Oryctolagus cuniculus: one gene and its partners. The protein of the gene in region 1 purifies or fractionates together with the protein of each later gene. This does not show direct contact. Links are inferred from orthologs where the notes say so. Each region holds a gene or a part of one and is shown in the gene's direction. Other genes may lie near its edges. The genes, in order: TLE1, HES1 and FOXG1.

Region 1 (7,663 bases):
CCTGGCCTGGCTCTAAACTACTGGTACAGAAGCACTAGTTGAAAGAAAATTTTCAGTTTTTATTCATAGCAAACTGGGAAATAATGTGCAGAAACATTTTCTGTGATCAGTTTTATCAGAGAACATTCAGCAACAACCCATTAGAAATGGTTCACTCCTGTCCCCAAATATTATGTTTTAAGTTTTCTGGTTAATTAGCAGTATGCTCCAGTTGATCAAGATACATCCTACCAGGTAAAGTTTGGGGAAGCCAGGGAGAGCTACCCCAGGTATCCCTGCATGTGCACAAGCATACTTCGTGCACCCAAGCATTTTTCCACCTAGTCCTACGGTTTGAACGGACCACAGATTGGCGTGTATAGCCCAATCACTAGATGATGATTTCACAAACACAGGAAGCCAAAGGAGAAAGTTTAGTCGACCATGAATCATAATTTCTTTAGGTCCTACACGTGGAGCAAGCCTGCTTTCATCATCACCACATTTAACTAAGGAAAGAGAGGCAGGACTTCCTTTTCATTCTCCATGTTAACAAGACCAGTATAGCCCCTTTCTCAACTCCGCTTCAGAAAACTGCAGAGCTAGAACCCTGAACTTGTTTAAGAGCATACTATGGCCTTGCACAGGCTGGCTGAAATAGCTCTTTTATTTTTCATTTATAATTGATATTAGGGATTGATGCAATTATAGACAAATCAATATCATACATATTTAAAAAACGCCAGTGAAATGTATTAGCTAAAATGACTCTTTTAATATTTCAACAAAAAGATCTCTGTAAAAAGCAAATCTTTGAATAAAACGTATATGTGCTTAAATAAACTCGTTCCCCTAAGTTTCTCGAAGGTAAAATAACGGGAACGCGTGGTTTCTAACACCAATATCTAGGTTCCAAGGAAACAGTAACACTTGTCGGTGATTTGCCCGCCTCGTGGAAGACGTTACCATCATTTGGCTAGAAGAGCATTATTCACTCACTGCTCATGACGTGGAAACAGTTTCACTGAACTGTTCTTTAAAGAAAAGTACATATATGTAAGCAGAAAGGTATCATTGCGGCAGTACTGAAGGTCTTCTGCTGTGTGGTGTATTTCGAGAAAGACAAAAACAGCGGACTCACAATACTAAATACGGAGCACCTCTCGTTCCTGTAAAAGCTCCAAGTCCCTTGCATCCCCAGCTGCCCCTCTAACAGCCCAGGCCACGTCATTTAGCCGTAGAGTCTACGGCTCGGCCACGAGCAGCACCCAGGCCACGGGATGGGCTGGGCCCGACAGGTTTTTCAGGTCCCGATGCTGGTCTGTCCCTCTGTTTCCAGGAATTGGAAAGATTCCTGGTCTGGTTGAGGAGCGGCTCCTAAGACCCCCACAGCCACCCTCTCCCCCGCCAGAGGACTCCTGAGAGAAAAAACAAAACCCGGGATTTCGCGCCGCGGGCAAAGCCATCCCCTCAGCGCACGAGACGCGCGTGCCCTCACGCCGGCGGCACCTTAGGTATCCCGCCCGCCAAACGCAGGCAGGCCGACCTTTCGACAAAGTGGCCCGGAATCCTTCAATAAAGGCCAAATCCCACCACGCTGGGCGCACGGGGAGGGCGGAGGTGGCCGCGGGCGTCGCAGTCGGGGCTCCGGCGGCGGGCAGACCCACGCCGACTAAGCTTTGCTCATTTATGCGTTTTCCGCCAAGTGTACAGCCCACTCCTGTGCACCGGGGAGAGGCGGCTCAAGAAAGGACTACGCTCTGAGGAATTTCTGAATGTGACCTCGCTTTCAAGGAGCAGCATCAGACAAGAGGCCACCACACAAAAAACCATTTTGCTCGCATGACCAAAAAAACCCCTCCCTCCCGCCCCCAAGGCGAGACTACGCCGTGAGCCCCCGAGTTACTTTTACTGAGCCCACAAGATTCGCACTAGAGCGCAAAGTGAACAAGTGGCAGGATTTCGGCAAACTCAAGCCCCCGGCTTCCGCCGCAGCACGCTCACGGGTCCCTCCCGCCAGCGCGCGCCCGCGCGCTCCCCAGCCGGGCCCACGTTACTTTGATTGACAGCCCGGCCCCGCCGCTCTCCTTCCCACCGACCTTCCCATCCTTCGTGCCAATCTCCGCGTCGCGCCGCCTCTCATTGGCTGCTTTTGGAGTCCCGCGGCTCCTCCAGGAACAGTTCCTCCCCGAGCCCGGGAGGACGCGGCTGGCGGAGGAGGGGCGGAGGGGGTGGGAGGGGAGACGGGGGAGACGGCGGAGATGGAAGCGAGCGGGGAGGGCGCAGGGGGAGCGGGAGGCACGGCCAGTCCGGCGCGGCGCCGCCATAGGCTCGAGGGAGGCGTGGCGTCAGTGCCCCACGTTGGGCGCGGCGAACGCGATTGGTTGATGCGGGCCCCCCTACTCCCCCGGCAGCCTCCCGGGCCCACGTCCCCCGCCGGCTCCGAGCTCGCGGCCCCCGCCCGCGCGGGGCTGGGCGGGGCCGGCGCTGGTTAGCTCCGGAGTGTGAAACCGCGTGTTAATGTAACCGGTGCGAGAGGCGCGGGCGGCGGCGGCTGTAGGAGCAGCGGCGGCGGCGGCGGCGGCGGCGGGTACCCTGTGCCCACGTCCCCGAGGCAACCGATCGCGCCACCCCCCCTGCCCTCGCACGGCCGGGCGAGACCCGAGCCCTCAGCTCGGACCTCCGCTGGCCCGCGCGCGGAGACCCGAGCCCCGCCGGGATTACTCGGACTCGTCGGCGGAGTTTGCCCGCCGGGGCGGGAGGCCGAGCGGCGGAGCGCACTCCTGCTCTTCTCCCCACCGTCTCGTGGATGTCGTTCCTCGGGTCGTGAGGGAACTTTGCAGCGGGCTGGAGCGCCCTTCACGGAGAGGCAGACGAGGGGAAGGAAAGGAAGAGGGCCGAAGAAGAAGGGTCCGGAGCGGCCGTGCGGGGCGAGTACGCATGGGCTGCGGCGCCCTGATGCGCCCCGGGCTGGAGGAGCAGCGGGTGGCTCCGGGACTGCCCTCCGTGGAGTAGCTCTGTCGGGCCAGGAGGGTTTGTGCAACCGCGGAGAACACCGATTGCCGGTTGCGCGGGGCGTGCCGAGCCGCCTCACGGCGCGCCCTCCGCACTTTCCCCGCCTCGTCATCCCTTGCTGCCCGGTCCGGGCTGAGGCTTCGGACCACCGGGCTCGGAGCCTCCGCTTCGGCTCTGAGATCGCTCCCTACTGCCTCCCACGAAGAGCGCCCGACTCCGGGGCGCAGCCGGGACCGGCGGGGGTCGGCCCGGAGCGCCGCCGCTCCTTGTGTGTGTGTGTGTGTGTGTGTGAGAGGTGAGCCGGGGGCGCCGCGCCACCTGCACCTCGCCCGCCCCTGCGAGGAGACCGAGCAGGAGAAGAGCGAAGGAAAGCAGCCCGCCTGGATTTGTTTGCCCGCGACGGGCGCCGCGCACGCGGATCGCCCAAGGGGAGCGCAGCCCGAGTCGCCGCGTCTCCACCTCACCGCCCCGGGCGTCTGAGGCCCGCGGGTTGGAGCACAGTCGCTGTGCGCTCTCCCCCCGGCGCCGGCGGCGCCGCGCAGGTCCTTGGAGCAGCTGGGCCCGGGGCGTCCCGAGATGTGGCCCTGAGGGCGGGAGCCCGCACCGGCGGGAGCAGCAGCAGCCGCGGGCGCCGAGTGGCCGGTGCGTCTCGCCGAGCGCGCCTGCGTGCGTGGCCAGCGCGCTCCCCGCTTCTGCCCGGCTGAATTGTCCTCGGCGGGATTAAAGTTGGAAATTGAGCGGAGAATTGAGTTGCCCGGGAACAGAGCTGCGGCCGCCGCCAGAAGAGCAATGTTCCCGCAGAGCCGGCACCCGGTGAGGCGCGGCCGGGTGGGTGGGGGCAGGCGCGCGGGGCTTGGGAGACTCGGTCTTGTGCAGTAGGGTCGTGGGCGGCTGTCGTACACCCCCGGCACCCGGCGGCGCGAGGCCAGGGGCTCCTGGTCCCTCCCTCCGTGGGGTGGCGAGTGAGCTGAAACTCAAGTCCCCCACCCCACCCCACCCCCTTCCCCTCTGGGGCCCCTTCCTAGTTGACGTCTAGACCGGGCGGACGCGAGCGCTGGGGGAGGCTGGGGTTTCTCTCCCCAGCCACATCCTGCGCTTTTCCCCGAGGCGGGTTTGGCGGCCCCCCTTTGTTTCTCGTCTCGCCTATTTACATGTCAATGCGGCCCCCGTTCCGGTGCGTCCGGAGGTGGCCCTGGCGACTCTGGGAATGGAGGACTTAAGGGAGTTGTTTTTCTCCTCCGGTCCCCGGGGTCATTGTCGCCCCCGTGGGGGAGGGGGCGACGACGACGACGTTCTGGTCTGGTCCCCGCACGCCGCACCCCCCAGGTCGCCAGGCAGTCCTCTCTACTCGGGCGGGTTGACCCGGGAGCACTTGGCGAGATCTGCCCAGGAGGCCGAAAGAGCTTCCGAGCCTTTTTAGAAGCTGGGGGTTGGGAGTGTGTGGGGGGGTCCGTTTCCCCCCTCCCCAAAGTGAAGCTCAGACTTGAGTTTGGGTCTCCGTTTTCTGCCGTCTCTAACTTTTTTGTTTATGTCCCACCCGTTCTTGCCTCTCCTGACTTTATCCGTCTGCCCGCCCGCATCCCCGTCCCTCGGTGCCCATCGCCGATCGCCCCCAGACGCCGCACCAGGCTGCAGGCCAACCCTTCAAGTTCACTATCCCTGAGTCCCTGGACAGGATTAAGGAGGAATTCCAGTTCCTGCAGGCGCAGTATCACAGGTGCGTGTCCGGCTGAGCGGGCGGCCCCTTAGCCCCTCGGTCGCCCAGCCCGGTGGTGGCGTTGGCTGTATTGAGTGCTTGCGTCCAGGCGGTGGCGTGTGGAGTCGCAGTTCAGACCTGTCATTCACGGTACCCCCTTTCCCGGCTCTTCCCGGGCCGGCTCTGCTTCTGTCTCCTCCTCCCTCCTCCCATTGTTTCCCTCTTGCGGGCTTGCTGCTGTTCCAAGGAGTCCTTTTTGGTGTATTTAGGAGTTGCATGAGAACTGTCAATATTTGCACTTCAGGTATTTATTTTGCAACAGGCTGAGCTGAAACATTGGTTCAATCAATCCTTCAAGCCCTGGAGTGCGGGTTCAGGGAAGCAAAAGCCATGTTGAAATCGCTGTTTGCCGTACTAGAAAATTGGGTTGTCTGAGGCAAAGTCCATTAGGGAAGGAGGCTAGTTGGCTTTTAGTTATGTCCATCCTTGGTGATGAGAGGGACAAGGTGGGGAGTGTTAGGGGAGAGTTCATCCACTTCGGCTTCCTTCTGAATTGATTGATTTGAGTGGAGTTAGCCTTCATCTCGGCCTCAGTTTCTTCATGTAAAGATACCCATCTGCAAGGAATTTATAACTGAAAGCTATCTGTAAAGTCACTGATTGTTCACAGTGGGTATTTCAGAAAGGTTAGTTTCTTTCCCTGGCTCCTTGGGAGGTTAAGGCTGATTGAAGCTAAGAAATTGCTGTAGTGGCAATTTTTAGCTTCCTCTTGCTCGAGATGAGGGTAGGTGATTTGGGTGTGAATTTTCTTACTCTATCAGGCCGCTATTCTACTTATAAGTGGTGTATCTAGGGCTTGAGGCATCCTTGTGCATACCGTGTTTACTCATGAGGGAGAACTTCAGCCCATTTTATGGCAGTACCCGCTTGGCATGTTTTGGCAGGAATTTAAAAACCATCGGTTTTGAAAGGGACCAGCCATTGTAGAACTAACTTGGCAGGTATGACTTTGAAACCTGGAGACAAAGATGGTGCGGCCTAAGGCTGGGACAGAAGTGTGCAAAGGCTGGATTTTGGTGGGGTTCAGAGAAACAGACTCTGATGCCGGAAACGGGGCACAGATGACCATGAGGAGGGATCAGCTGACAAGTGTACACCAAAGAGAAGAAGCAAAAGGCTGAGGGATACTCTGTACTGCTCACCTCATTCCTTTTTCCTGTTAAGTACAGAGACAAAGCTTTTGGGTGTTTACCTAGATAGTTTATGGCTTTTCCAAATTGGTCTGTGTTTTTACTTGAAGTGCAAATATGTGAGGCAGATGTTAAAACAAGTGACATAATGTTTACATTAAGTTGCCTGTTTTGTTTTCATAGCCTTAAATTGGAATGTGAGAAACTGGCAAGTGAAAAGACAGAAATGCAGAGACACTATGTGATGGTAGGTATCAAAGATTGGAGTTCTTTTTCATGTAATATTAGCAAATATGTGTTCTTCGCATCAAAAAATGTGAGTTAATGAAATGTCTGGTTCTTTCTTCTCTTTACAGTATTATGAAATGTCATATGGATTAAACATTGAAATGCATAAACAGGTAAGCTTTAGATAAATCTTAAGCCGAAACAAGAAATCAGCTCATACCATTTTGTAATACTGGCTTAGTCCCCAGTAGTGGGTCATGGACCTGGGAGTTTGCATGACAGTTTTGGCCTTGGTTGCCTTTCTTGTGAGTTGGTGGTAGTGTCTGCAGCAAGGGTAGAGTGCTTACAGGACTAGCTGTTTTGGAAATGTGAATTAGCCATTTTTAGGCAGCAGAGAAATTGAGACTGAATTTAGTTTTCTACCTGGATAGATTTATTGTCCTCTGAAAAGATGTCAGGATCCTGTAGAACTGCTAACATTCAGAACAGTGCCTGCGCTTGTGCTCTTTGGAAGGAAGTGCGCACCTTTGGGGGAAAGGGCATGTTCAAGGGTTTCTGTGATCAGGTTCAGCAAGCTGAGTGATTGACTAGAGTACTCTGTGCTTCTGGGCTGTGTAAGCGAGACTCAGGATTAATGGCTTATTAGCAAACATGTTTTTAAAAAACTTGTCAGTTGAAGCAGGTTTGGAGGTTAAAAAAAAAAAGGCATCCTTTTGTGGCCACAGCATATGTTGGAAATTGCTTCAGTCCTAGTGGTTTTAAAAGCATGAAAAGATTAGTGACTGGAAAGCCCTAGCTATGACTATGAGTTTGCAAGTTCCCATAAAATTCACACTTATGGCTACTATAATGGTGTATAAAAAGAGTATTGAGCTGGAACAAGGCACTAAGGACCTCATAAGAGAAGAAAAGCTAAATGATTGCTCAGCCCAAAGGACCCTCGATTGAGTAGTCATTGTCTGCCAAAGAAAGCATTAATGGCAGGGTGTAAGTATTCTGGAGATATGCTGACATTCACTTTTTCATCAAGACGCTGGTACAATACGTCTTTTAGAAATCGATTGCCTCTTAAAAAATTATCATCAGATGAAGTTGCACAGTTGGACACATTTCAAAGTGCAACAATACAGTTCTTACTTGATGTATATGTGCTATTTCATCTCAAACCCTTGTTTCATTAAATTAAAGAGCATGGCTGACCGGCTGGGGCACAGTGGAGAAATTGATTAGTTCAGCCTTCAGATCTTCCTTATATTCAAAGACTTTCATTAAGCAAGTGTGTTTCAGAGTTGAATTCTGCTTTTGTAACTCTGCACTCTTTGATTTTTAATTCATCATAGATTTCATAATGTTATCATCCTGTACCTTAGATCTGTTTTCAGATTTGTGTTTGGAAAATGAGAGTTCAGTTCAGAGCCTTTCATTAGTAATATAATTCGGCCTTTAAAAATGCTGATTTTTACTCTGATGTGCAAAGTTGGTAGCTTAGGTTTGTGTTGGGCTTGTGCCTTTGTGTGTGTGTGTGTGTGTGTGTTTCAATGGCCAGTGCCTTATT
Region 2 (7,682 bases), on another chromosome or scaffold:
CTTATCTGTCCCGGGGTTGGGAGCTTCCTGCGGGCCATACCCTCTGACTCTTTCCTGTAACACCCCCTCGCTCGGCCCCGCGCCTTGCAGACCAGCTCCAGCCTTGCGGCTGTCCCTACAGGTGTGGTCTGTCCTGCAAGCCCCAAAAGGGGGAATGCAGGCAAGCCCGCAGGGTCAGGGAGCAGAACCTCAGGGTGTGCCCGCCTCCGCCGCTCACAGCCACCTCCGTGCACACTGGCACTGCCTCCCTTGTCGTGGTAATCCAGGGCTTAGCACAGTGTCTGGCACTGAGCGCGCGCTCCCTACTGAACGCGAGGGGCTCGCCCAAGGTCAGTGGAGTCAGGAGCCGCCTAGCCGCACCAGGGGCGGATCTGGGGGAATCATTGACAACCTTATCTCCGCGGGGAGCTCGGGGGGAAGGAAGGAATGAAGTGTCAGAGAAGTGTGTGCCAGGCCTCCCGGACGCGCGAAGGGCGGGGGAGGGGGCGAGGGGGGGCGACATCAGAGGAGGCGCTGGGCTCCCAGGCCGCCCCGAGCCGCAGGCCGAGCTCCTGACGGCGGTGGGGTGGGGACACGGGGCCGGCGACCCGGCCGGCCAGGCAGACTCCGGAGGCGGCGGCCGGCCTGCCGGGGCCGTGCGCGCCGCCCGCCCTGCCCGCGCGGCAAATCCCCCAGGGAGGCCGCCGCCAGAGCCCTGGCGCTCCCGGCCCGGCGCCCGCCACGTGGCACCCGGCGGCGGCGGCGGCGGCTCCTCCCGGCGCGCGGCCCGGCCAGCCGGCAGCACGCAGCCGCCCGCGCCGCCCTCCTCTTCCCGGCCGCCCGCCGGCGGCCTCCCGGGCGCGGAGAGGGGGAGCTGCCCAGCCGCCCGGGACCCGGGGAAGGGGCGGGCCGCACGAAGCCGCCCTAACCGCAGCCGCCGAGCGGAGGCAGGAGGCTGACCCGGCCGCTTCCTCACTGCGGTCAGGCATCTCGTGACCGCGGCGGGCGCCGGGGGCCCCGCGGGAGAGGGCGGGCGGGCGGGGGCGAGGAACGAGCCAGGTGCCCCCCCGCCCCCACCCCGGGGCTGCGGCGAGGGAAGTCTGGGGCCAAGTTAAAGCCCCGAGCCCGAAAAGCAGGGTGGGGGAGGGCTGGAACCATGCCCCGCTCTCCACCCTAGGGCGTGCGCTCCCCGCCCGGAAGGGCTGACCTTGGCCGGGGGAGGGGCGGGGGAGGGTAAGCGCCGGGGCTGGGCTCTCCGCCCGCCGCCCCCTCGGATTCCTGGCCCGGCGGGGCCCGGGGAGGGGGCCCCGGACACACACACACCCCACACGCAGCGCGCGCCAATGAGCCCGGGCCAGGCGCAGGGGGCGGGGTTTTCCCAGGCTCGAGCACAGCAGCTGCTATTTACCTTCTTGGCTTCTCCCGGGGACCAGGAACCGGCCCCCGCTCCCGGCCGCCCGCCGCCGCCTCCCGCCTCCCTGCCCCCGGGGCGCGCGCACACACACTCACACACGCACGCACACACACATCCTCCCGGCCCGGCCGCAGCCGCGGCGGCAATAAAACATCCTGGCACGTGCTCCGGCTCCAGGCGCGCCCTCGCCGGCCGGCTGATGTCAAACTGCAGCTCGGCTGGTGCAGCTCTTAAAGGGCCCGCGAGGGGAGAGGCAGCCTCGCCGCCCGCCTGCCTCGAGGTGCCGCCGCGCCGAGGGCCCGCGGGCGGAAAGGGAGAGGGTGCGGAGGAGCGCGCGCGCGTCCCGGAGCGGCGTTGCCATCAAAGCGCCCCTTGTTCGTTTGTCATTGGCGATTCCATTTCCTTTCTACCCAGTTGGAAATTTTTCTGATTGTTTCCTGGGGCAGCGTGGGGGTCCAGGGCCCCCAACACCAACAGAAGGAAAGAGGGACGGGGTGGTGAAGGTGGGGGGCGTCCAAGAACCACCTTGCCCTGAGAAGCCTGCAAATGAGAAGTGCAAGGTAATTTTATTTTTCCTTCTGGTGCATGCAAAAAGGAATTTGGGGGTGGGTGGGGTTATTTTTCTGCATTATCTACTTTTCACTCTCCTCAGTATACAGAAGCTCGGAGGGAAATCACTTAGATGTTTGGGTAATTCACACCCTTGCACGCTTATGCCGCTTTTAATCACTGATCATGTCTCTCTTTTTTTCTTTGGTCTATACCTTTCTGAAAATATATTTCCAATGAACTTCTTATTACAGTCAAAGCAGTTCTGTGACACATAGAAAAGAGAACAAAGAGCAAAGACATTGGCCCCTTAAAGAAAGAAACTAGTCTAAAACTAAAGCGGAAAAATCCTCTCGAAAGCAAAGCCCAGAGGGGAGAGTAGCAAAGGGTTAAAATTCCTTTGATTGACGTTGTAGCCTCCGGTGCCCTGGGCTCAGGCGCGCGCCATTGGCCGCCAGACCTTGTGCCTGGCGGCCAATGGGGGGGCGCGGTCCACGAGCGGTGCCGCGTGTCTCCTCCTCCCATTGGCTGAAAGTTACTGTGGGAAAGAAAGTTTGGGAAGTTTCACACGAGCCGTTCGCGTGCAGTCCCAGATATATATAGAGGCCGCCAGGGCCTGGGGATCACACAGGATCCGGAGCTGGTGCTGATAACAGCGGAATCCCCCGTCTACCTCTCTCCTTGGTCCTGGAATAGCGCTACCGATCACCCAGTAGCTGCAAAATAGAATAATAAACCCTCGGCACTTGCTCAGTAGTTTTGTGAAAGTCTCAAGAAAAAAGGGACATTAAAATATTATTTTTGGGCGAAGGTCTCCAAAAATAAAAATTCTCTAGGGATTAAAAAAAAAGGAAGGAAAATGCCAGCTGATATAATGGAGAAAAATTCCTCGTCCCCGGTGGCTGCTACCCCAGCCAGTGTCAACACGACACCGGATAAACCAAAGACAGCCTCTGAGCACAGGAAGGTAAGCGCAGTGCCTGTATCTCTAGCCCCAGGAACCAGGTCGGGGGTGGGGGCTCCTTTCCCTCCGGAAACCCCGGGGTGAAGCGGCAGATCCCAGGGGAACTCAGAGTTCTGTCTGATTTCTTTGCAGTCTTCAAAGCCAATCATGGAGAAAAGACGAAGAGCGAGAATAAATGAAAGCCTGAGCCAGCTGAAAACTCTGATTTTGGATGCTCTTAAGAAAGATGTAAGTGGGGGAGAATCCTGCTGCTTTTATTATTATTATTATTATTATTTATTAAGAAGTGCGAAGTACTGTTTCGGAGCCTCCGGGAATGAAATCCCCCTTGCCTGCGAGGCGAGGATCCTAGCCTAGCCCGGCAATGCTGCTTTCTCGCCGGGGTCCACGGCCGGGGAGGCGGGGGGCGGGAGGGCCCCAGCGATCCGAGGCAGCTGACGGGGGGCGGCGGGGGTCTCACTGCCCTGCCTTGCCCTCTGTTGTGCAGAGCTCGCGGCATTCCAAGCTGGAGAAGGCCGATATCCTGGAGATGACCGTGAAGCACCTCCGGAACCTGCAGCGCGCGCAGATGACCGGTGAGGGCGCGGTGAGGGCGGCTCGCGCGTCCCCCTCGGCGGGCGGCCCTCGCACCCGGCGGTGATTCCTTCCAGACTTCCGCCCGCGGTTGTGAGCGGCATTGAGCTACATTTTACTGCCTTGGCTCACGCTCGCGTTCCCACGGTCTGGGTCTTATTTATAGCCGCAACTCCAAGTTGTTACTGTTCCGGAAAGGGAGGGAGAGAGGTGGTAGCCGCGAGGGTGGCGGGCGGCTTGGCTGCGGGGGAAGCGGGCTGGGGCTAAAGGACTGGGAGCCGTGGCGGTTTGGAGCTGTGTGCAGCCTGGGGGTGGAGTGGGGGGGGGGGTCATCTGGTTTAGCGCACTGCTCTCCTCCCCCGCTCCAGAAGGGGAAACCGGCGCGGTTGGTGGATTGAGGGTGGGGGCCGAGTCCCAAGGTCACAGCGCGCGCGGGGCTGGGCCTGAGAGCAGTTTAAATGGAGCGACAGGGAATGGGAAGGCGGTGTCTCGGCTCGGATTGCCACGCTGGTGTGGCGGTGGCGGTGGTGGTGGCGGCTGGTTCCCCTAGAGCCAACCCCCTCCGCCCCTCCCCGCGCCCCAGCCGCAGGCGGTCCGGCGGGCGCGTGGTCGGGGAGGCGCGCCGCAGGGACCTCCCAGGGCGGGAGGCAATGGCCCCGGGGCCAGGGCCGTTCGGTGACCCGTCTGCCTCCTTCTGGCCTACAGCCGCGCTGAGCACAGATCCGAGCGTACTGGGGAAATACCGCGCCGGCTTCAGCGAGTGCATGAACGAGGTGACCCGCTTCCTGTCCACGTGCGAGGGCGTTAACACCGAGGTGCGCACCCGGTTGCTCGGCCACCTGGCCAACTGCATGACCCAGATCAACGCCATGACCTATCCCGGGCAGCCGCACCCCGCCTTGCAGGCGCCGCCGCCGCCCCCGCCTGGCCCCGGCGGCCCCCAGCACGCGCCGTTCGCGCCGCCGCCGCTCGTGCCCATCCCCGGGGGCGCGGCGCCCCCTCCCGGCGGCGCCCCCTGCAAGCTGGGCAGCCAGGCTGGAGAGGCGGCTAAGGTGTTCGGCGGCTTCCAGGTGGTGCCTGCTCCCGACGGCCAGTTTGCCTTCCTCATCCCCAACGGGGCCTTCGCACACAGCGGCCCGGTCATCCCCGTGTACACCAGCAACAACGGGACCTCGGTAGGTCCCAACGCCGTGTCCCCTTCCAGCGGGCCCTCGCTCACGGCCGACTCCATGTGGAGGCCGTGGCGGAACTGAGGGGTTCTGGACACCTCTCCACCCAGACTGCCCTACCCGCTTCTCCACCCTCCGGACATTAAACAGGAACTTGGATACTGGGAGTGAAGAGAACTTTTCTGTGATTGATTTCAGTGGTTACCTTGTTGGTTTTTTTTTAATTTCTAAAAGTTACTTTTTTGTAGAAGAGCTGTATTAAGTGACTGACCATGCACTATATTTGTATATATTTTATATGTTCATATTGGATTGCGCCTTTGTATTATAAAAGTAAAGATGACATTTCGTTTTTTACACGAGATTTCTTTTTTATGTGATGCCAAAGATGTTTGAAACTGCTCTTAAAATATCTTCCTTTGGGGAAGTTTGAGAAAATATAATAAAAGAAAAAGAGTGAAGGTGTTTATGTGTGGGGACTGATTATTTCAGAATATGTAAAAAGGCTCACGGAATTTGAGTTACATGTAATCTGGGAATTCAGGAATTGGCTCTATTGTTATTAAAAGAACAGCATTTTTAAAAATCCACCCAGCCTTTTCACCCACACCACATCAACTACAAAGACCAAATCCCACTTAATTTACAAGCTCTCCTTTGATTCGGCTTCCTTAATAAATTTGGGTGCGAACCTCCTGCAAGATTTCGGAGGTTTCAGAGTTGGCAGTGGGCTGAGCCATACAGCCCTCATCCTGTGAGCTCCTGAGAAGGTTGGACAGGACTGCATTTTCAGGACTGTCATGGAGGCAATGCTGAACTGGCCGCAGCCCCTGGGAGGTCGGCCCCTGCCTTGTCCTGGGAGCAGCTCGCCCACACCCACAGGGCAGCCCTCCTCCTGGAGCCGCCTGCCTTCCAGTGCTGGGGGTCTCCCCTAATCAGCCTGTCCCGAGGTGCAGCCAGACATGCCCTAGCTCCAGCACGCACACGCGTCCAATGCTGCTCTGCCCCCTCTTCAAGCAAGCTGGAAAGGTCAACAGATTCCTTCTGCCAAGGGACAGCTAGTTAGACTCCCAAGTGGAACCCCAGCCCAGATGATTAACGCCACACATGTGTTTCTGATAAGTCTGTGCTGGGCTCTAATAGAGAAAGCATGTGGGGGCTGTGCTGGCAGGCGCACAGGCCATCTTCCCCTTTTAATACAAACAGCAAGCGACCCCTGCGCTTGGTCATGCCCCATTTCCAGGCAAGATGTGGGCTCCAGATAGAAGCAAAAGGGCTGTCTCGGGTTTCAGCTCACATAACCCTCCTTAACAAGTCCTAACTCAAAGCGGACAGCTTTAAACTGTGCCAGGATCTGCAGGGAATTTCTTCCAAATCCCATCACAAAGGCTTGTCAGATTTTGTCAGATTTGGCCAGGTGTTTGACTGCATCCAGGTGTTGGGGAAATGAGAACCACGAGTCCTGCGAGACCAGACACATCAGCCTGCGCTGCGGCTCTGGCGGGCGCGCCCTCCTCCCCCACCCGCCGGCCTCTCTCACCTCCCTCCCAACCCCCTCCGCCCCCTTCTCGGAGAGCGGCTTCTGGGAGGAGGATGAGGCGGGAGAGATCAATCTTTGAAGCTTCCCTAACAAAGATAAAGCCAACGATTTTCTGTCTTGTTTCAAAAGCTTTCCCCTCTCCTCCGCCCGGCGCTGGCCTTTCCCACAGGCCGGCGCGCAGAACAAGCGTCGGGCGGCTCTGTCGCAGGAACCATCGGGCACACAGCGGCAGTCCGCTCCCCCCTCCCCCCAGACACCTTGGGCCCCAGCTTGGGCCCTAGAGGTAGAGGTCTGAAAGCCACTTTTTTTTGCAGTTGGCTGCCACTCGCCTGATTTTGTGTACATGAAAGGTGTCCAACACTCCCTCCGCCAAACACACACACACACACACCCTTCTTTATCATATCACTTTTCCACCTTTTCCCTCTCATTTAAACACAAACATCATAACAATCGCTCCATTCAGGGACCCATCCCAAACCCAAATGCTCCGTGGACGCCTGTCCTCTGGGTGTTCTGTCCTGATAGAAAAAATAGATGGCATGGTCTCATTTTTGCACAACTCCTTCACAGTGATGTCCTTTAAAATTCACAGGAAAAAGAAGAAAAACCCTGTGCCATCTCGATATCGACTCAGTTAACTTTGTCTTTCCTTATGCGAAGGGCAGCCACTGAAAAAGTGCATTTGCATCGATACCCCAAAAAGCACACCCAGTATCTGCCTGGGAAGGGCTAATAAATGCAAGGAAAATAAGTCAGCATTGGTTCTTTCGAAAATAAACAGGGGGTTGAAAACCTCTTCTTTCCCCCCTGCAATTTGGGCAGGGCCCAGTAGACACAGCCTCTATTTCTCTGTGGAACGGGAAGGAGGGTGGAGTCGGATCTTCTGGTTCTGCCCCGGCTGTGCCACTAAAGTCACCTTGTGTCACCTTGGATAAGTCATTTCCCCATCCCTGGGCCGTTTCCATTCCATACAAGGGCTGGATCTGTTTCTGAGACCGTACCTCCTGCCCCCTGGCTGGCTGGCCTAGGGAGCTGGGGAAGAGGCCAAGCTTCAGAGGAGACATCCATCGTGTCTCCCAGGAGGTCCCTCGGGCCTGGTCTAATTATACAGCCTCTGGGCACACCCGGCAGCCCCTCTCCCCGGCCCCCAGCAGTGCTGATCGCTCGGAGAGATAAGGCAGAGCTCCAAGCTCCGGGTCCGGATGCAGCCCGCGGGCCTCGGAGGCCGCGCGCCTCAGCCCCTCGTCGGAGAACCCCCTCGCGCCCGCTCCCCCACCCCCCAGGCTCCCGGTCGTCTCAGGCAGCATCCGGAGCGGGAAAGACGCCCAACTGGGGGGCTGGGGCAGAGCTCTGTGCGGTCCAGACTCGAGCCTTCTGCAAACTGTGCACAGGCGCGACTCGGAGAGGCTTGGCCCCCACCCCACCCCACGTGTTTGTGGACCGGGGAGCGACCCAGAGGTTTCACTGGACCTCCTCATCGTCACCACCGTC
Region 3 (7,442 bases), on another chromosome or scaffold:
CAGAAGGTATAATCTGATTCATTTCCCATGCAATTCTTCCATTGGAACTGTTCACTCTTTACAAGGCCTGTTCTCTTGTTGGGGTTGGGGTTAGGGTTTTGGGAATGCAGACAGAAGAGAAAGGAGCTTACCACTATATACACTGGAAATGTTTATTGGCTTTTATTTCTCCTTTCAGTCGTCAACAATGCAAGTTTGTGAGTGTATGCATGTGAGAGATCAAGGTTAAGTTGATTATGAGAAAACAATTAGGTTGGTTGTCCCAGTCTGAGACAACTGGATGCCCCCTGTCTTCTGAAGGGAACCAGAGAAGACTGATGGAGCTGGAAACGTAAGAGGCCCCCAAGGTGGACCTGGCAGGCCTTCAAATCCAATTCCCACCCAAATTGGCCGGCAGGATATACAGAGCCCAGTCCAGGGACTTTCAGCTTGCACAATACTCTGTCCAGGAACCTGCTCCTTCCCCCCTGCATTTCAGATAGTAGCAGTCCTAAAAAGAAACCATTGCTGACACAACCGTGGGCCGCTAAGTAAACACTACATGCTGTGTGGAACACACACACACATGTATATACATATACATACACACACAACTTCTTCCAAAGTTGTAAATAATCATTATAATTGGGGAGAAAAGATTTTTAAATATTATTATATTCAACTCTATACTAGTTATTCCTATACAAATATCCTATTTTGGGAGACTTGCATTCATGCAATCCTTGAAATAATATAACACATTCTCAATTTGCATGTGAAACATTTTCCCAGTCAATATGAGCTTCTGGCATAGAAAATCAGATTATTACAGCTCTCATTAGCAAAGCCCAATTTTTGCCATCTGAAAATATACAGAAGAAAAACTTATTTTCACCTACTAAAATTTTAAACAATGCACACTCAGCTCTGACCTAAGAAACACCTTAAAACATTAAAAATTCATCAGTCAGAGCTGGTGTTGTATTCAAGGAATGCTCCTCCAGTTTGCTGCTGAGCTTGGATTTGAATAAAATGTCCAATGTTAACAAACAATACCCACGTTTGGCACTTTGTGTATTAAATTGATCAAACAGATTTTAGGAGGCACAATGCACAATTTGTACAGACCTGATTGAGTTAATATAATATCAGCAAATTTTACATCGAAATGATTCTGTTTCTTTTCTTTGTGTTTAAAACCAGCACAGATTACAAATTTTAATGATCTGAAAATGTTTGGTATACAAAATCATGCTTATTTCAGTATTAGCAAAAACACAAGAAATTTTTCAACACAAACACCCAGCTGTGTCTATTTTAAAAGCAGTTCAATGACAGCTTGCACTTATGAGCATGCAATCAGCTAATTTCGCTTTTTTTTTTCTTCTGTGTTAATCAACACTTTCCTTCCTGCATATCAGAGTACAAATAGTATAGTTACTCCACATCAGTAAATGTTTACGTAACCTGTCCTTTCCCAAGAATCCGGTTACACCGAATCATTTCACGCTAGACCGACTACGAAAACGTACCGGGCCGTCCACCTCAGAGGGAGCCCTGTGTGCCATTCTAAGTGGCGGTGAGAAGGGGGGCCACGGGGGCAGACCCGGGGAGGAGTAGGTGGAGGAACGGGAAGCGCGAGAGAAACGGAGGGCGGGGGGAGCGGTGGGGCGGGCAGGGGGAAGGAGGGAGTGGAGACGGGGGGGAGGGAGGCGAGGGAGTTGAGGAAAAGTAGCGAGCACTGGCCTGCAGGAGGGGAGAGGAGTGGGAGGAGGAGAAGCGAGCGGGGAGGGAAAGGCCCACGGAGCTGTGCAGCCTCTTCGCGAAGCCCGCGGGCTCCTCCAGCTCGGCAAGTAAGCCCGAGCTCGGGTGCCGGCTTCTGGGGCCGTGTCGCCGCCAGCGTTTGGTGGCTGGAACCCTCGAATGCCTCCCGGGTGCAGACCGTGCGTGGACGGAGGCAAGGACACAGGAGCCTACGTGTAGTGGGAGGCTGAGGGTCGTCCGATATTCGCAGCTCCCTGGTGACATCCATGATGGATGCGTATTTAAAACTCCCGAGCTAGCTGCCGGTCACGGCCTGGTATTCTCCCTGAGAACTTCGGGGTTGGGGATGGGCAAAGTGGAAGAGCCCCTACCACCATCCTGAGCTCGCAGCAATTCCATTCTTTATGTCATAATTTAACTTCGCTCCTAGGCGCCACTTTCCCTTCTCAAACACCAGATCTGCCAGCTAGCTCATTTCACTGCGAGTTTTCCAAAGTGAGGAGGGTGGGGAAAAAAAAAAAAACCGCTTATATTGTATGATGATGATTTACCTTACAGAGGAAGGGGGAAAGGTGCTTCCCCCCCTCACCACCACCACTTAGGCTTCTCTTCCACCGCCCTCTTCTCTCAGGCTACATCCTCCGTAAAATGTGGTTATGTTTCGTGCCCGTGTGGGATGGAACAGCCTTTGATCAGTGTGCTCCGCGCTAAATTCCAATCCCTGGGAAATGCTGGGCCTTAGCCCTGCCCCTGGCCACGGGATCCTTTTAAAGTCCCCAGATCGCAATCTTCCCACTCACTCCAACCTCCCCAGTGCCAGAGCCCCAGAAGCTGGGCTTACGCATCCCCGTTCCCCGAGAGCCCAGTGCCTTCCAGGCAGCAGTCAGGGTGGGTAGGGGCTGGCTGCGGAATACTGACATCTCAGGGTCGAGGCCCTCACAAATTACACGCATTTGAGAAACGAAGAGAAAGAAAGGAAAAAGGAGGAGTGGACGCAGGGAAGCTTCAGGAGGGGATTAAAAAAAAAAAAAAAAAACCCGGAATGCAACAGACGCCCACCGTAATCTTCCCTCCTGGGTCCACAAGCAAAAATGAAAATATCTCCAGGGTGATCGCTCACGGCTCCCCGCTTCCGATTCGGATTCGCGACTGAGAGCAGGAGCTGCAGCGGCGAGGAGCGCGCGCGGCACCGACTCACCCCGCCAGAGCCACGGTCTGCGGCCGCGGAGACGGCGAAGGGAGACGCGCGCGGGCAGAGAGCATGGGTTACCTGCTTTATTTCGAGACTGTTTGGCACTGTGGGCACCTCTCTGTCCGGAAGGCCATCAGAGGCACCCACCACTGAGCCGCCCCCGCCCGCCGCCGCCGCCGCGCTCGGAGCCCCAGGCCCCGCTTCCCCCGAGCCTGGAGCCCGCCGCCGCCCTGGCCGCTGGAACCGAGTAAGTAACCCTCGCTCGTCCCCGCGTTCTTCTGCCCACGGCCTCCTCCTCACCCCGTCCTTTCCAAACGTCGCCCCCCGGCCCTCCTCCCGCAAGGTGCAGGACACCCACGCCCACACCGGGGGTGGGCCTTCCCGCCCCGCCGACGCGAGGCTTCGCGGGAAGCGTGGCCTACGCGGGGCACAGTTCCCCCCACGGGCCCGCCAACGCCAGCCCCGGGCCTGCAGGGCCGAGGAGGGGGACGAGTAGGGCCTCGCCTGCCTCTTCCTCCTTCATTTCCTGCCCTCTCCTCGCATCCTCTCCACTGCGCGCCCACCCTTTCCTCCACCGCCGCCCCCGCTTCCCCCCCCCAAAATAAAACCGGATACAAACTTTAATCAATAAGGACAAATATTGACGCTCAATCGAAAATGACCCAGTACAAAGAGGAGGAGGAGGAGTAAGCCGGAAACGCGAGCCGTGGGCCCTTGGAGGGGACTGCGGCGCGGCGCGGGGGCGCGGGGGCGCGGGCAGGCCGCGGCGCTGCGTGGTCCCGCCGGCGGCTCCGTGCGCGGCTCCGCGCGGCCGCCGGGTCCCAGGCCCGTGGCGAGGGGGAGGCGAGCGCCCGAGGGGGCGGGAGCCGGCGGGCGGGGCCCCGGGGTGGGTGGGCCCGGGCCCCGGCGATTGGTCGACGGCGAGGGAGACGCTCCCGCACGCCGCCGGCTCTGATTGGCCCGGCGGTAGGAAAGGTTAAACCAAAAATTTTTTTACAGCCCTAGTGTGCGCCTGTAGCTCGGAAAATTAATTGTGGCTATAGCCGCCTCGATCGCTGTCTCCCTAAAGCCTCGCCGCGGCCGCTCCGGGACGCGCCCGCCCGCCCGCCGCCCGGCTCTCCCCCCCTTTGGGCTGCTGCTGCTGCTGCTGTGACTGCTGCTGCGAGAGGAGGAGGAGGAGGAGGAAGCAGCGAGGGGGGGGGGAGCGGGGGGTGGGGGGGAGACCGAGAAGTAGAGTTGGGAGCGAGGGAGCTTCACCCCCGGGGCGGTGGTTGTTTCTTTTTTTTTTTCCCTCTTTCTTTCTTTTTTTTTTTCCCTCCCCCCCCCCTTTTTTTTTTCTAATTCCTGAGGGGTGGTTGCTGCTTTTTGCTACATGACTTGCCAGCGCCCGAGCCTGCGGTCCAACTGCGCTGCTGCCGGAGCGCTCAGTGCCGCCGCCGCCGCCCGCGCCCCCCGCGCCCCGCTCGGCACCCACCGGTCGCCTCCGCCCGCCGCGCCGCTGCCCCGCTCCCGCGCCGCCGCCGCCGTTTCCCCCCGACGACTGGGTGATGCTGGACATGGGAGATAGGAAAGAGGTGAAAATGATCCCCAAGTCCTCGTTCAGCATCAACAGCCTGGTGCCCGAGGCCGTCCAGAACGACAACCACCACGCGAGCCACGGCCACCACAACAGCCACCACCCCCAGCACCACCACCACCACCACCACCACCATCACCACCCGCCGCCGCCCGCCCCGCAACCGCCGCCGCCGCCCCAGCAGCAGCCGCCGCCGCCACCGCCGCCCCCGGCCCCGCAGGCCCCCCAGGCGCGGGGCGCCCCGGCCGCCGCCTCCGCCGCCGCCGCCGACGACGACAAGGGCCCCCAGCAGCTGCTGCTCCCGCCGCCGCCGCCACCGCCGCCGCCGCCGCCCCCGTCGGCCGCCGCCCTGGACGGGGCCAAGGCGGACGGGCTGGGCGGCAAGGGCGAGCCGGGCGGCGGGCCCGGGGAGCTGGCGCCCGTCGGGCCGGACGAGAAGGAGAAGGGCGCCGGCGCCGGGGGGGAGGAGAAGAAGGGGGCGGGCGAGGGCGGCAAGGACGGGGAGGGGGGCAAGGAGGGCGAGAAGAAGAACGGCAAGTACGAGAAGCCGCCGTTCAGCTACAACGCGCTCATCATGATGGCCATCCGGCAGAGCCCCGAGAAGCGGCTCACGCTCAACGGCATCTACGAGTTCATCATGAAGAACTTCCCCTACTACCGCGAGAACAAGCAGGGCTGGCAGAACTCCATCCGCCACAACCTGTCCCTCAACAAGTGCTTCGTGAAGGTGCCGCGCCACTACGACGACCCGGGCAAGGGCAACTACTGGATGCTGGACCCGTCGAGCGACGACGTGTTCATCGGCGGCACCACGGGCAAGCTGCGGCGCCGCTCCACCACGTCGCGGGCCAAGCTGGCCTTCAAGCGCGGGGCGCGCCTCACCTCCACCGGCCTCACCTTCATGGACCGCGCCGGCTCCCTCTACTGGCCCATGTCGCCCTTCCTGTCCCTGCACCACCCCCGCGCCTCCAGCACTTTGAGTTACAACGGCACCACGTCGGCCTACCCCAGCCACCCCATGCCCTACAGCTCCGTGTTGACTCAGAACTCGCTGGGCAACAACCACTCGTTCTCCACAGCCAACGGCCTGAGCGTGGACCGGCTGGTCAACGGGGAGATCCCGTACGCCACACACCACCTCACCGCCGCCGCGCTGGCCGCCTCGGTGCCCTGCGGCCTGTCGGTGCCCTGCTCGGGGACCTACTCCCTCAACCCCTGCTCCGTCAACCTGCTGGCGGGCCAGACCAGTTACTTTTTCCCCCACGTCCCGCACCCGTCAATGACTTCGCAGAGCAGCACGTCCATGAGCGCCCGGGCCGCGTCCTCCTCCACGTCGCCGCAGGCCCCCTCGACCCTGCCCTGTGAGTCTTTAAGACCCTCTTTGCCAAGTTTTACGACGGGACTGTCCGGGGGACTGTCTGATTATTTCACACATCAAAATCAGGGGTCTTCCTCCAACCCTTTAATACATTAACATCCCCGGGACCAGACTGTAAGTGAACGTTTTACACACATTTGCATTGTAAATGATAATTAAAAAAAATAAGTCCAGGTATTTTTTATTAAGCCCCCGCCCCCCCCCCCGCCTCCCTCCCCTCCCGCTATTTCTGTACGTTTGTTCAGTCTTTAGGGTTGTTTATTATTCTAACAAGGTGTGGAGTGTCAGCGAGGTGCAATGTGGGGAAGAATACATTGTAGAATATAAGGTTTGGAAGTCAAAATTATAGTAGGATGTGTATCTAAATAGTGACTGCTTTGCCATTTCATTCAAACCTGACAAGCCTATCTCTGAGAGCCGCCAGATTTCCATGTGTGCAGTATTATAAGTTATCATGGATCTGTGTGGTGGACGCAGACCTTGAGAAACAACCTAAAAAAAAAAAAAATGGGGAGAGTTTTAAAATATTAAGCTGTAATTTGTATTTAAGAAGCATTGGTAGTAAAGATACCCAAGAAATTATTTTGGCCATTTATTGTTTTGTCTTTTTTTTTAAAGAACTGTTTTTGTTTTTTTTCTTTTGTTTACTTTTTAGACCAAAGATTGGATTATAGAGAATGCACTTGGTATTCTAAGTATTCAAACAAACAAACAAACAAGCAAGCAAGCAAAAAAAAAAAAAAAAAAGGAAAGTTGTTTCAGTTGGCAACACTGCCCATTCAATTGAATTGGAAGGGGACAAAATTAATGATTGCCTTCAGTTTGTGTTGTGTATATTTTGATGTATGTGGTCACTAACAGGTCACTTTTATTTTTTTTCTAAATGTAGTGAAATGTTAATACCTATTGTACTTATAGGTAAACCTTGCAAATATGTAACCTGTGTTGCGCAAATGCCGCATAAATTTGAGTGATTGTTAATGTTGTCTTAAAATTTCTTGATTGTGATACTGTGGTCATATGCCCGTGTTTGTCACTTACAAAAATGTTTACTATGAACACACAGAAATAAAAAATAGGCTAAATTCATATATATCTTGATACTTTTGTCTCTTTTATTAAGTGGAGCTAATTTTAAAAAGACTGTAGGGAATTCAAAGGCTTTTCTCAGCCAAACTTGAGATTTCAACTGCTCCTTTGATTTGAACTAAGTCTCTAAAAATGAAAACAGTATTTTTCCCTTTATGGACAAAATCTGCAAGGAGCAAGCTAATTTAATAAACGCTAGCTTTAAACAAAGTATAGGCTTTTTAGCTGATATCTTTTACTTTTTTGGATATACAGCAAAAAAAAAGATAATTTAATTTTTTGTGCATAGCTGTTTACACTGTTTTATTTAAAATTCAGTTAATTGAAGAATGCTTTTTATATATATTTTGTTTCAGGTATCTTGTACATAGCACTTGGCAAATTATAAATGAATATATGTGTATATGGTTAGATAGAAGTGACTATAATGCACACATATGTAATATATATATAGACACACAGAG

Evidence for each region.
Region 2: the proteins of TLE1 (region 1) and HES1 purify together in Homo sapiens (affinity purification with western blotting; 4 studies listed by BioGRID and IntAct, with this or other methods). This does not show direct contact. The link is inferred for Oryctolagus cuniculus from reciprocal best matches to the Homo sapiens genes TLE1 and HES1.
Region 3: the proteins of TLE1 (region 1) and FOXG1 purify together in Homo sapiens (affinity purification with western blotting; 3 studies listed by BioGRID and IntAct, with this or other methods). This does not show direct contact. The link is inferred for Oryctolagus cuniculus from reciprocal best matches to the Homo sapiens genes TLE1 and FOXG1.

What each region holds. Positions count from the first base shown.
Region 1 is NC_091432.1:148,537,723-148,545,385, forward strand, and holds the start of TLE1 (transducin-like enhancer protein 1), read left to right. Parts: upstream 1-3,426; 5' UTR 3,427-3,783; coding exon 3,784-3,807; intron 3,808-4,610; coding exon 4,611-4,711; intron 4,712-6,063; coding exon 6,064-6,127; intron 6,128-6,236; coding exon 6,237-6,281; intron 6,282-7,663. Other genes in the region: uncharacterized protein, read right to left, coding at 2,079-2,306. UniProt on the Homo sapiens protein: Transcriptional corepressor that binds to a number of transcription factors. Inhibits NF-kappa-B-regulated gene expression. Inhibits the transcriptional activation mediated by FOXA2, and by CTNNB1 and TCF family members in Wnt signaling.
Region 2 is NC_091435.1:85,313,977-85,321,658, reverse strand, and holds HES1 (transcription factor HES-1), read left to right. Parts: upstream 1-2,527; 5' UTR 2,528-2,801; coding exon 2,802-2,909; intron 2,910-3,038; coding exon 3,039-3,134; intron 3,135-3,393; coding exon 3,394-3,481; intron 3,482-4,184; coding exon 4,185-4,732; 3' UTR 4,733-5,113; downstream 5,114-7,682. UniProt on the Homo sapiens protein: Transcriptional repressor of genes that require a bHLH protein for their transcription. May act as a negative regulator of myogenesis by inhibiting the functions of MYOD1 and ASH1.
Region 3 is NC_091443.1:46,591,435-46,598,876, reverse strand, and holds the start of FOXG1 (forkhead box protein G1), read left to right. Parts: upstream 1-3,047; 5' UTR 3,048-3,182; intron 3,183-4,319; 5' UTR 4,320-4,482; coding exon 4,483-5,985; 3' UTR 5,986-7,442. UniProt on the Homo sapiens protein: Transcription repression factor which plays an important role in the establishment of the regional subdivision of the developing brain and in the development of the telencephalon.